Linked DNA regions of Tribolium castaneum. The protein of the gene in region 1 interacts with the protein of each later gene in a biochemical or structural test. Links are inferred from orthologs where the notes say so. Each region holds a gene or a part of one and is shown on either strand. Other genes may lie near its edges.

Evidence for each region. The genes of interacting proteins can lie anywhere in the genome.
Region 2: of the proteins of partitioning defective 3 homolog B (region 1) and aPKC, one has a biochemical effect on the other in vitro, tested with the Drosophila melanogaster proteins (2 studies listed by BioGRID). The link is inferred for Tribolium castaneum from reciprocal best matches to the Drosophila melanogaster genes baz and aPKC.

Annotation. Positions count from the first base shown.
Region 1 is NC_087395.1:16,313,781-16,319,400, reverse strand, and holds part of partitioning defective 3 homolog B, read left to right. Parts: intron 1-2,330; coding exon 2,331-2,478; intron 2,479-2,528; coding exon 2,529-3,124; intron 3,125-3,168; coding exon 3,169-3,275; intron 3,276-3,451; coding exon 3,452-3,535; intron 3,536-5,557; coding exon 5,558-5,620.
Region 2 is NC_087399.1:9,784,552-9,791,408, forward strand, and holds part of aPKC (atypical protein kinase C), read left to right. Parts: intron 1-3,222; coding exon 3,223-3,273; intron 3,274-3,565; coding exon 3,566-3,651; intron 3,652-3,701; coding exon 3,702-3,957; intron 3,958-6,857. UniProt on the Drosophila melanogaster protein: Serine/threonine protein kinase which is required for apico-basal cell polarity in the germ line as well as in epithelial and neural precursor cells, for epithelial planar cell polarity and for cell proliferation.

The sequences.
Region 1 (5,620 bases):
TTTACTAATTATGTGTTATCTCACATCTGTTTTTAAAAAATGTTAATGTTGCTCTCGAACTTCTGTACTTTAAATTATAATATCTTAAATTTTAAACTTCGGAAAAAACTTTCAACCCTTGTGCTTTCGTTTATAAATTATGGACTCATTATTATGACAAACAACAAACATCTGTCGTCTGCAAAAAATTCAAAACAATTGCTACCGCTTTATTTTTGGTTTGAAGAAGCATGATTATCATGTATCAGAAAAAAATTAAAGACCTAGGTTGGTTAAAAATTGATAAGCTTTTTTCATGTCATTTGTCTGCATTTATTTTTCGCTTATTCTTAACATCGACATCTCTCTATCTGATCATTCACATATAACATAGTTTGAACTCAATTCGGAAATAAAATTAACTAGACGCCCTCTGGTGATGACTTTTGAACTATGTTGAAAACAGTAACGAAATTTTCGTAATTCCACATTTAACTGACATTTAACGAATTGTTTAACAATTTTGCGTCTATAGTGTTATATACTTATATTAGAGAGTATCACGTACTTTTGTACGTGGTGGTAAATACTAGTTTTGATCTTGGTCTGCGGTATAAAGTGTTAATTGTTGGAATTTGAAAGTGGATAAAAAGTGAAAAAAAATTAAAATTTGATTACAAAGTGTTATTAAACAGTTGTCTAATTGCAGACTGTAAATAATGGATCACAGTGAACACAAAGTTGGGCTCAAGAAACCAATAAATTAGTAAAGTGTGTGAATTTTAGGTTAGAATTTTCCACTGACAAACTCATGAAATACTTTGGTAAGTCTACAAAACTACAATTAAGATTAACAACTGCTGATTCATTTAAGCATAAATTGTTCCAAAATGTAGGCTTTTCAATGTCTTTGTAATAATTTTCCAATAAAGAAAGTGAACTAAACAGTCATTCCTTATTCGTGTTTTCCTCGTCATCACTAATTTGTCAACATTTGTTTCTTGCACCAAAGACACAATAGTCATTCCGCATAGGCAATGCAATAATTGGGAAGCCTCAAAATTCGTACAACGCTCAAAATATCCGAATAAACATTTTCCCGCTATTTATGGTTACTGTTTTCGACCTAGTTCAGTGGCGCCCCCAACGATAATTTTACTTCCGAATAATAAGAAACTAACTCCAAAAAATTGACAGATTATGACGTAAGTTTAGTTGAGACTTTTTGTAACGAGGCTATATTTTTGACGATATTTTCCGAACGGTTAGTCGTAGCGACTTGATTTTTGCAAATTTGTATTCCGCCGGTCATTTTACGTTAGAAACACTCAATCATAAAGAAATAATTTCCAAAAATTTACATATAATGATGTAAGCTTAGTTGAGACATTTTTGTAACGAAATCATATTTTTGACGATATCTTCCGAACGGTTAGTCGTGGCGATCTGGTTCTTGCAAATTTGGATTCCGCCGGTCATTCTACGTTAGGAACACTTAATTATAAAAAAATAATTCCAAAAAATTAACAGATGATGATGTAAGTTTAGTTGACATTTTTGTAACGAGACCATATTTTTGACGATATCTGCCGAACGGTTAGTCGTAGCGATCTGATTCTTGCAAATTTGGATTCCGCCGGTCATTCTACGTTAGAAACACTCAATCATAAAGAAATAATTCTAAAAAAATTTACGTTAGAGATACAACATATACATACATGGAAATTTTTTATTCTGGAGTCAGTGTTTACAATAAAGAGTAAAACTAAAAATTTGTTTTTAATAATTAAGTTTGCTCAACTGAATTGGCTGTTTGTTGATAATAAATGCAAAAGTTTTTTTCTGATCATTTTTTGCCTCTCATCTTAAAGAATTCTTTCTAATTTCTTACTTATTAAGAGACTGACAATGGTTTTTCTTTTAGTTTTTAAGTATTTTTTCATTTCAAGATTATTTATAAAGTTTATTTTAATTTTTTATATATTTTTTATTAATTTCATTTTTTTCTTCGAGGTTAAGTTGAATAACTTCAAGCTAGACTTCGCTTTCCCATCTGTTCTTATTGTTTAAATTTATTCAATAAAGGCCCTTTTTTATTATTTTTATTGTTACTATTATTCGTATTATTATTATTATTATTATTGTTATTATTATTAATTATGCATTAATATTCTCTATAGCTTGTTTATTGGTTTACCAACAATTTAGTAATTTTTATAGTTATAGAGGACCCCAATTGTGTTACCACATTTTTTGTGGCTGCGAGCGAGAGTTGAAGTTTTTTCTTTTAATTTTTTTGAGTTTAATTCAATCTTCAATTGTGATCCAACTCTGATTTGCATTTTTTTCAGATTCAGATGCAGGAAGAGGGCGACCCGGCTTACAGCTACAGGGGCCCTTCGGGCGCCCTTAAAGTGATACGAGGACGGGGCTGTGAGGAGAGCTTTAGGGCCGCTGTGGACAAACACATCGTCGACCCGAACCACCAATCGGAAATAAGTAATTCATATCAAATTACCCTTTTGTTTTTCTAATTGGTTGATTTTCAGGCGCAAAGAAACACTGGTTGCTCGACGGCCCAATGGAAGAGCGCGAAGTTGACGGTTTTAACAACGTGAGAGGGGCCCCACGTCAATCCTCCCTTAATGCGGCCCTTGACAGTAAACACAAGGCGGGAAAAAAGAAACCGAGTTTGTTGAAAGGCATCGGTTCAATGTTCCGGTTTGGAAAACACCGGAAAATGGAATTTGCCAACATTGATATACAACACTACCATCCGACCAATGAGTTTGACCCCAATGTTAATAACAATCAACAACAAGCGGAACAGAATTACCAACAGCAACAACAACAACATGAGAATTCTACCCAGGAACAACAACAACAACAACATCAACAGCAGCAGCAACAACGTGTGCAACAAATGATGCAACAGCAGAGAGAGCCGTTGTATCAGAGGCACGGTTTTGTGCACCGACATGCTGAACAGGTCCAAGTGATTCCGGAGAATTCGGTGGCGCCACCTATCAAGTACCGGAATCACGTCACCGTTGATCAGCAAGGGCAGAGGCGGAAAATTCACGACCATAGAGTAAGACACACTTACTACCAGTCGGATGAGAGAGAGCCGATCTATGGACAACAAGTATGTAACTCTGGAGAAAAAGCAAAAAATAATAATTTTTTTAGGGGAATTTCGGGGAGTACGGTGGCAGGCCTGGCAGCCGGTCGGGAATCACCGATTCGGTCCCTTTCACCCACTACGTCAACTACAACGAGCTGCAAAACCACCTAAGGTAAGCCCCCATCAAAATAAGTCAAAGGTTATGGAAATATTGGGCCCCTCTCAGTGTCTACGTTGTGCACATTTCATTTGTTACTAACTCTGATTTGTTGCATGACATAACGTTCTGTTTTTTATGTTATGATGTTTATGTGTTGTCATTGTCATAATTGTATTTTGTCCACGCAGCCGTAAAGATCCACTATCTGACAGTCAGATAGTTCAGATGCGTCTGCAAGTTCAACAGCAAAGGTTAAAGGTGGAGGAAGAAAGGTATGCACTTTTTCCCTTTACACACTCTTGAGCTTTGCGACTAATTTTTTAAATTGCATGCACGCTTGCCGGTGATTGTGTAACGTGACTCTTGTTCCAAAAAATTAACACTTGAATAACGTCTGAAAATGTGATGCATGCAACCTAGTCCTCGAGTTTTAAGGCCAAAGGGGACCTGTTTTTACCCAACAGATGGCGCCATGTCTGATCACAAAAACATTGTTTTTCTACATCCAACGTGTTTATTAGGGTAAAGTGCACAGTTATTGAACAGTTAAGCAAAATTCTCAACTGGAAAAATCATTACCGCCTTCAGAATAAAGATATAGATAATTGCGTAATTCCAAAGTAAAGATTGAAATGTGCAGAAAATGCGAATTATTATAGAATGTTACAACCTGCATTCAATTTTTTTCCTCAGCATTTTTATTTATTAAGTGGAAAAATTATAGTTATGGACCTGTCCCGAGATGCCTTGATTTGCATGACAAAAGTAGAAGTAAAATCAAAGTTTGTTTAATTTCCAACAAAGTTCCAAATCAAATCTAATGCTTAATTAATAATTCACGTCATATAAATCATCTCGATCACGATCACTCTTAGTCATTTTGTCCTTTATCAGTTTTTTTTTCTTCTTCGTTAGTTTTATCACTTTTTGCTTCTATTTCTTCCTCATCGACATATATTAACTTATCCAGCCAACATTCACTATTGTCATCCCTATAATAGGGATGCTGTAAGTCTTGATTTTCATCATCGATAATGTGTTCCTTGTGACATCTGGGAACACAACGGTTGTGAAAGAAGTGTTCATACTTCACAAATGTTAGGAATAACCTTCCTTGTATTTCTTTTAGGCAGATTGAGCAAATAATTTTTAATTATACAGATTTCTGTTGTTTAATTTCCTCTTTCGATGTCTTTTTCAATTCGTATCTTCTTTTGTTGGTCCTTTTTTTTTTCAGAAGTTTTTGGATGGGCTAAGTAATTGTGTATTCACAGCTGACTAGATTTTTCTTGCTGTGTAATATTAGTCTCTGTATTCTTTATTCTTTCATTCCGAAGTACTATGATTTTTGGGCTTACTTCACTTTCTAATATAATGCTATTTTCTTGATCATTTGGACACCCCTGTTTAATAACTTCATTCACAAAAAGAAAAACGAAAAAGGTAACTATGCTACCTTTCTGTTGTGCTTTCAGTAGGAGTTCAAAAATAAATTTTCCTAAAATGAAAATGCGCAAAATATAAATTTTATAGTTACTGGAGATTGACTGATTGCCGTCAGTGTAAAAAATTCAAATAAAATACATGAAATAGCAAGATACAAACTTACCTTCGGTCTTAGAATTGTTGAAGACTTCGAAAAAAAATAAGATACCAAATAATACAACAGTTCCTGTGACATAGTTCAGATTATCACTTGCGTATACAGGGTGAGTCAATAGTGGGTTATTTCTGACATGTCCTAAGATGCAACCAAAAATACTAATTGCACTTCCTACTTGGATACTTTGTTTGATTTTTCAAAACATTAATTAAATCAGTATTGTTGGTTGCATATTTAAAAAATTCAGAACTAACCGACTATTGACTCAGTCTATCGATGTTTTCTTTTTTTTAACAAACATTTTATTTCCACTGGTGGTACTACAATTTATTTATATGACATGTAGATCAAACTACGTCTTTTCAAAAAAAACAATAGAAGAAATAGTTTACGCTTCATATCCTACTAATATGAGTTCAATAGCTATCCACTGTCGAATGTGTTTAAACCATTTATCTTTTGATTACAAAAGAATAGCTTCAATTAAAAAGTATTGGAAAACTGTATTTAGTTGCAGTGTGAAACAGTCTCTTTAGATCACTCTGTATTTCCGCTTTTCTTACACTCGCGGCAAATACTGTAATAATTAAATAAATATTTGTCTTTTAGATTTTAAGTTTTGTCCTCTTTGGCCTTACACTTAAAAAAAGTGTTTGTAATTTTAAATTAGTGACGTCACATTTTTTATCAGTCGAAAGCAGCACCAGTACCACTCCCAGCGCCAGACCCGCACCGACAACCAGCTTCGTCCCGT
Region 2 (6,857 bases), on another chromosome or scaffold:
TTTTTGAGAACTACCAAACAGTTGTCAAAACTTACACAGGAGGAAAAACCAGACATTTTGACAGTGTCGAGGAATAAAAATAATTATTCATCATGTGTTCTGGATAGATTATTTAATGCAAAACATAAAAACATTAAAAAAATAATGAAAACTGAAGAAGTTAACAAAATAGGTTTGTCGATCCAATTTTACTTTTTTAATTTAAGATTTGTTCTATTTTCCATTTGTTGGTACCCCAGTTTTTGAGCGTCCTGTACAAGTAAAGAAAAGTTGCCCATTATTTGTGAATGATTTCACAGATAGTGCCATTTTTTCTTTACGTGTAGGAGAATAATGCAACGTTTTCTCTTATAGGTACATTGATAAATTTTTTTAATTAATTTTCCACCAATAAGAATAAAAAAATCACCAAATGTTTATTATATTATATCGTAATTAAAACTTAGTCATAGTCCCTCAAATATTTTTTTTCGGATTTTAAAAATCAAACATTGAACCTTCTGTTTCTTTTATGAGAAATCATAGATTACAATTTTTATTTGGTTTGTTTATAGAAAAGATGCGTATTATATTATGACTTAATAGTTCCTAACATGAGACACGGTTTTTTTTAGAAGTTAACGTTTTTTCAAAAAAAGGCGCCACTGACCTATATTACCAATAATGCATTGTGAAATCCTATGTCAACAGAGAGGTGGTAGTACTGGAAATTTAAGTAGAAATTTTGGTTTTTTTAGCATTTTCGGATTAAGAAACAAATTTTTGGTAAATTCAGATTTAAATTATTGATTATGATGTAGAATGGAATTTAGTGTTTGATATATCTGTCAAAAAAAACTTATCTGATAATTAATCGTGAATGGATTGTACTATAATAGAAGTACAAAGTGTCTATAAATGAATGTGGGATCGTAATAGGTATTAAAAGTTTGCCGTTTTTTTCAAGAAAAAACAAACAATGTTTGTATATGATAAAATTAGTTTTACTGGTTGGAAAAAATTTTCAGAGTACAAGATTTTTTTTCAATTTTCAGAATTTTTTTCTGAATTAAATAAAACAATGACTGCATTTTAAAAGACTTTTTTCTCTAGAGCCCGAGTGGAAGAATGTTTCCAGTAAAATATTTTTAAAAATGTTTCATAAAACGGTTGTAAATAACTGCGGAAAATGGCTAAAATTTAACTATTTTTTGCTCCCTTAATCATAGTTTTGAACATATTTTTAGGCAACCCATTCGCAATATATTTCTTTGCATATTATATTTGATAAAAAATAAGTTTCATCCGGTAAACAGATGGGTCCAGGACGATCTTAATTCGTACCTGAGACTATTAGCACATCTAAAAATTTCTATTTTTTGATGAAATCAATTTTTTTTTAATTTAAGAAACTGCTAAAGATTGATATTAAATTTAAAAATAATTACTTATCACTGTGTTAAAGAACATTTAATGTGAATCACAAAAATATCAAAAAATAATGAAAATTGAAGAAGTTAACAAAATAAATTTGTAGCTTCATATTTTTTAAAAAACGTACCATTGAATCGGTGCGCCAGTTTTTGAGCACCCTTTAAAACCCTTGATAAGGATGTCACAAAACTAAAATAATAAATAAAATAGTGATACATAAAAATATATAACGTATAAAAACAGTTTTACATTCGACATAACCAAAATCTCCAGATGAGCATAACGACACAATTTATATTTTCTCCTGAGGATGACCACATTGCGGTTAAAACATGTTGTGTTAGAAAAAAAGTTTAGTGTGTCGGGTATAAAACTGAATTTTTGTTAATCGCCAAGAAAATCCAACAGAAGTTCATAATATAAAAACATAAATAAATAATTAAATAACATAATAACATATAAATAGTAATAAATGAAATAATACTTAATGAGCATTCTTAGGCATCTTCCTGACTATCGAAAACAACGCGGTTTAACCCAAAAATCTGCCTCTGGCCTTTTGAGGAATTTATTCTACTTCAACGACTTTTCGAAAATTATTAGAAACTTTATGGAACAAACGCCAGAATTTTTTGGCAAAAAATACCTACGCTTATCTGCAAAAATAATTGTATCATAAAATACACGAGCAGTTCCCCTATTTTCGCAAAATACAATGTAATTTTTAAAGATACTATAAAAAGAGCCATAAAGTTATTTTTCAAAGTATAATGATATCTTTCACAAGCTGTGACGCGGTCTGCACATAATGAAACCACTGGGGTCGTAAAATAACCCTCTGAGAAATATTTGACCATATCATTTCAAAGTGAGGAAATAAACGACTTCTTAACTGATTCTTGAGGTATTATATTCAACTCGATTACGATTTATGCAAAAAATACAAAATGTTTTTGTAAATATTATGCACTCATGCCAATCTCTTCGCTTTATCGTAGATTTAATTTAAGATTACGCGTCACCGCGCCGTCGATTAAGGGTCGCAATTAGGCAGTAAAGCTCCCCCTCTTCCACAATTTCCGTTTTTTGAGCGTCCTTCTCTCGATTATCCGCAATTATAGATTTTCTAATCAGGAAACAAAAGCTCCGGCTTCCGAACAAGCACCTGTCTGTTGATTTCCCGAATCCGGGAAAAACCACCACAAGTTATCGGCCGTTTGACCTCAATCTTGAGACAATCGATACGGCCATATGGCGAATTTTCAACTTTTATGCCGCGATATTAACATTAATAACGAATTCCATTCAGAACTTCCTCCCACCGAAATTCAAACAACGTTATCGCATTTGTCCGAGATAATCGTTTATCTATAGTTTCACCTGAAATAGTAACGTGCGTGTTGTGAAGATGGGTCGCGTTACGTGAATTTTAACATGGGGGACGGTAAACCCTGGTGGGGCAATTTTAAAATATGGAAAGGGATGTCCGATGCTGCGATTCTCTACTCCCTTCATCCGACTTTGAGCTATGACGCGTCCTCGGTTTTAGCGGCCGCGTTCCCCGGAGGTTCGTCACAAAACACGAATTTATTTATTTTTTTCATTATTGGCCAGAGGGGTGATTTGCAACCCCTCGAACGTGGTGTCACCAATTGGGCGAATTTTAGTTATTTTGTTGTGCTACCTGACTCGCTCTACTGATTAGTTTTATCTTATCTATTGGCTAATTCTCGCCGATTCGATTTTACTCCAATTATTCGACAATCATGGAAGAGACTAATTATTTATTTGAGTCTATTTTGTCCACAGTTTTCCCGAATGTGCCGCCACAGCCCGGAATGCCCTGTCAAGGGGAGGACAGTAAGTATTATTCGTAATTATAGCGGGGGTGGTGTTACAAGTTCGCCAACACAAAAAATATGTTGGCAACGCCTACGGTTAATTCGTTTTATTACAAAGGCGCGATTTTCAAACATTATCTCGATGTTACTGATAATTTTTTGTCAGTGTTTCTCGATTTGAAAATGGCGTTTGCGAAATAACAATGCTACGAATCTTGCAATACATTTTGATATGTAAACGGCACCATAAGGCAAAATTTGGTATAAAAAAACCTTGCTTTATGTGGTTTTGAACCGATTACTCTTTTCAGGGAGTATTTACAGGAGGGGTGCTCGTCGTTGGAGGAAACTTTACCGTGTCAATGGACACATCTTTCAGGCCAAACGTTTCAATCGAGTAAGTTGAATATTTGGTCAAAACTATAGGAAAAATAATTAATTGTTTAGAGAGCCTTTTGTGCATTTTGCAATGACCGGATTTGGGGTTTGGGGCGACAAGGTTTCAAGTGCATTCAATGCAAGCTCCTCGTCCATAAAAAATGCCACAAACTAGTACAAATCCCCTGTACAGTCGACCTAGTTGAACAGTCTATCAGAGAAGAACACAACGGGGAATCGCCTTTAGTAACAGTAACCTCCAATAGTGAAATTATATCGGAAATACGCGACAGGGAGTACCCCGAACCGCCACCAGATGTGACAGGTAAAAAGTTACTTTTTGCCCCATTTCTACCAAAATTAGGCTACGAGAAACTACAGAATTTGGATATTTTTTACTGAAACATAACCTCACTTTTTTGTTAGTTTTTCCGTAATTGCATAATTTTGTTTTGCAGATTTTTTCTACAATTGGGTTTCAAGTATTATTGAATTGCCAAAAATGGGGGACAAGTGGCGAAATTTTGGCTTTTTTGAGTTTATTATGAACACAACATAACCTCACTTTTTAGTTGCAATTTTTTCATACTTTTTATGAATAATTATTAATTATTTTTATTAATAAGAAAAAGTGACAAAGTCAGCTATTTCTAAAATTTGTTATAATAACTTGTAGACCATCATTAATTTCATTAGTTTCGCGGTCATTGCTCCACAAGGGAGTACCTAACAAGTTAGGCTACATCAAGAAAATAATTGTAGGGACATGAAAGGGAATTTTGTTCAGACTGAACGAGGGAGGTCTAATGAGATACTGTTAAATCAGCTTATTAGTAATAAAGTATGATTGTAGCCTCTAGGTGGTTGGTTACACACCGACACTATCGTATCAGATGTTAGGGAAAATAGAGAAATTTTAAAAAATTATGTTGTATAGCTTCAAGGTTAGCAAGGTTATTAGATGGGGTTCCAAATCAAATTGGCATACTCTAATTCAGACCTAATTAGCGCATTAAAGAATAAAATTAGTACATCCATTTTGATGAAATCTACAGCGTTGTAGAGAATCATTTCACTAGTCCAAATGCAGAAACAAATTAAAGATTTGGTGCTTTTCCGCAAAGATACATTGGTTTGGAGGCGCACTTCAGGTGCACTTAGAATTTTTCAGAGTGAAAAATAAAACACAAATTGACAGTTTCTGTAAAAGAAAAGAATTATGTGTTAAACTAAATCGTTTTGAACTAAGATAAGCCAATAGAAACTCTCAATTTGTGATGTATTTCACTCCAAAAAATTTAAATGCGCTGTTGCAAAATTTTACTATGAGCTGATATTTATGGTGTAGATGATTATGAAAAATAATAATGTAAAACAATTTTTCGAAAAATTTGCTGAATTTTGAAGTAAAATAATCTTAAATCTTCGTAATTTTTCTTAAAAATCAAACGGAAATTACCAAAATTAAGGATCTTCAAAGCAGTGTATTTTTGTGGGGAAGCCCCCAATCTTAATTTTTTTTCTACGTTTGGACTACTGAAGTAATTTTCTACAATATTCTGAACTCAGAATTCGCCACTTTTGAGACACTCTGTATAAATGAAACCTAACATCTCATAGGATTTATAAAATCTGTTGTCTGACAGATTTGTTTCTTTACGGAAGCAAGTCATAACATAACATTTATCTGTATTTAGACTTAAACTATTATTTTCCGCTTATTCATTGAGTTGTATTAAATCATTAAACATTCGTAATCAGGTATATCTACAGGGAATTTCCAAGAACAGTTTTAAGTCATCCACAAATAGTAATTTTTCTAGGGAAATAACATTCGTAATGCATCCAAATTAATTAAAAATAAGGGTGCGACTAGACGGTGAAAAAGAGTCAAACGTGAAATTATTTTATGAGATAGGTATGATGTCAGTAAATCATTTAATGAAAATCCTACTTTAGACGTCTATTTGCTTGTTGCAGTCTTATAGTTTTAGAAACATATTGACTAAAACAAGCTAAATTTGTGGTGGTCGATTTTATTTCAGTAAAAGGGTCTTATATTGGTGTAATATAACATTTTTGTTATATTTGTTTGAAGATTATACTAAATGTTTAATTATGAGGTTAAACAACTTATAGAGGTTCTGTGAAGATGTATACACGTTAATTATGTCACTAGGTATGTCTTTAGCTTCAGAAATTAAAGAATTTCTGATTTTTTTAGAGCTTGCAATGGTTGCAGTATATTCATACAGACCCAGAGGTGCGTGCACGCTCTATAACGTTTTTTCTATTCAAGCTATCAATTTATTTTTTTTAAACGATAGGTCTTACAATAAGACACGTTCTAAAAATATTTTAGTCTGCATACAGTGTATTTCAAAATAAAATACCTAACTAAGTTCTGTTTTTTTTTAATGGAAATCTCAATTTTTTATAATTTTTTTTTGAAATCGTGACTAAAATGTCGATATCATGTACTCGGGTTTTATAGAATTAACTGTTATAGTTTTTAACTTACGTCATTTTTACAAATAGACCCCACAAACCTTATATCTTCTAAAAGCTCTTAAAAATGCCATGCAGTGGTGCAAGAAAATATATAGTGTTGCGTTTGAAAAAATCGAGTTATTGTAATTTGTAGTTTATCATTTTTAGAAAATCGTAGTAGGCGCTGGAATATCGACGCAATTTTCACAGATAAATTGACATAAGTTAGAACCTATTCGGAAGTAAAATTACCGTTGGGGGCGCCACTGAGCTAGGTCGAAAACAGTAACCATAAATGGCGGGAAAACGTTTATTCGGATATTTTGAGCGTTGTACGAATTTTGGGGCTTCACAATTATTACATTACCTATGCGGAATGATTATTGCATCTTTGAAGCAAGAAACTTATGTTGACAAATGAGAGATGACGAGGAAAACACGAATAACGAATGATTGTTTGGTTCACTTTCTTTATTGGAAAATTATTACAAAGACATTGAAAAGCCTACCTTTTGGCATAATTTACGTTTAAGTGTATTCTAGAAGTTGTTAATCTTAATTGTAGTTTTGTTGATTTACCGCAGCATTTCATGATTTTTTCAGTGGAAAATTCTAACCTAAAATTCATAACACTTCACTAATTTATTGGTTTCTTGAGCCAAACTTTGTGTTCGCTGTGATCCATTACTTATAATCTTTAATTAGACAACTGTTTGATAACACTTTGTAATTAAA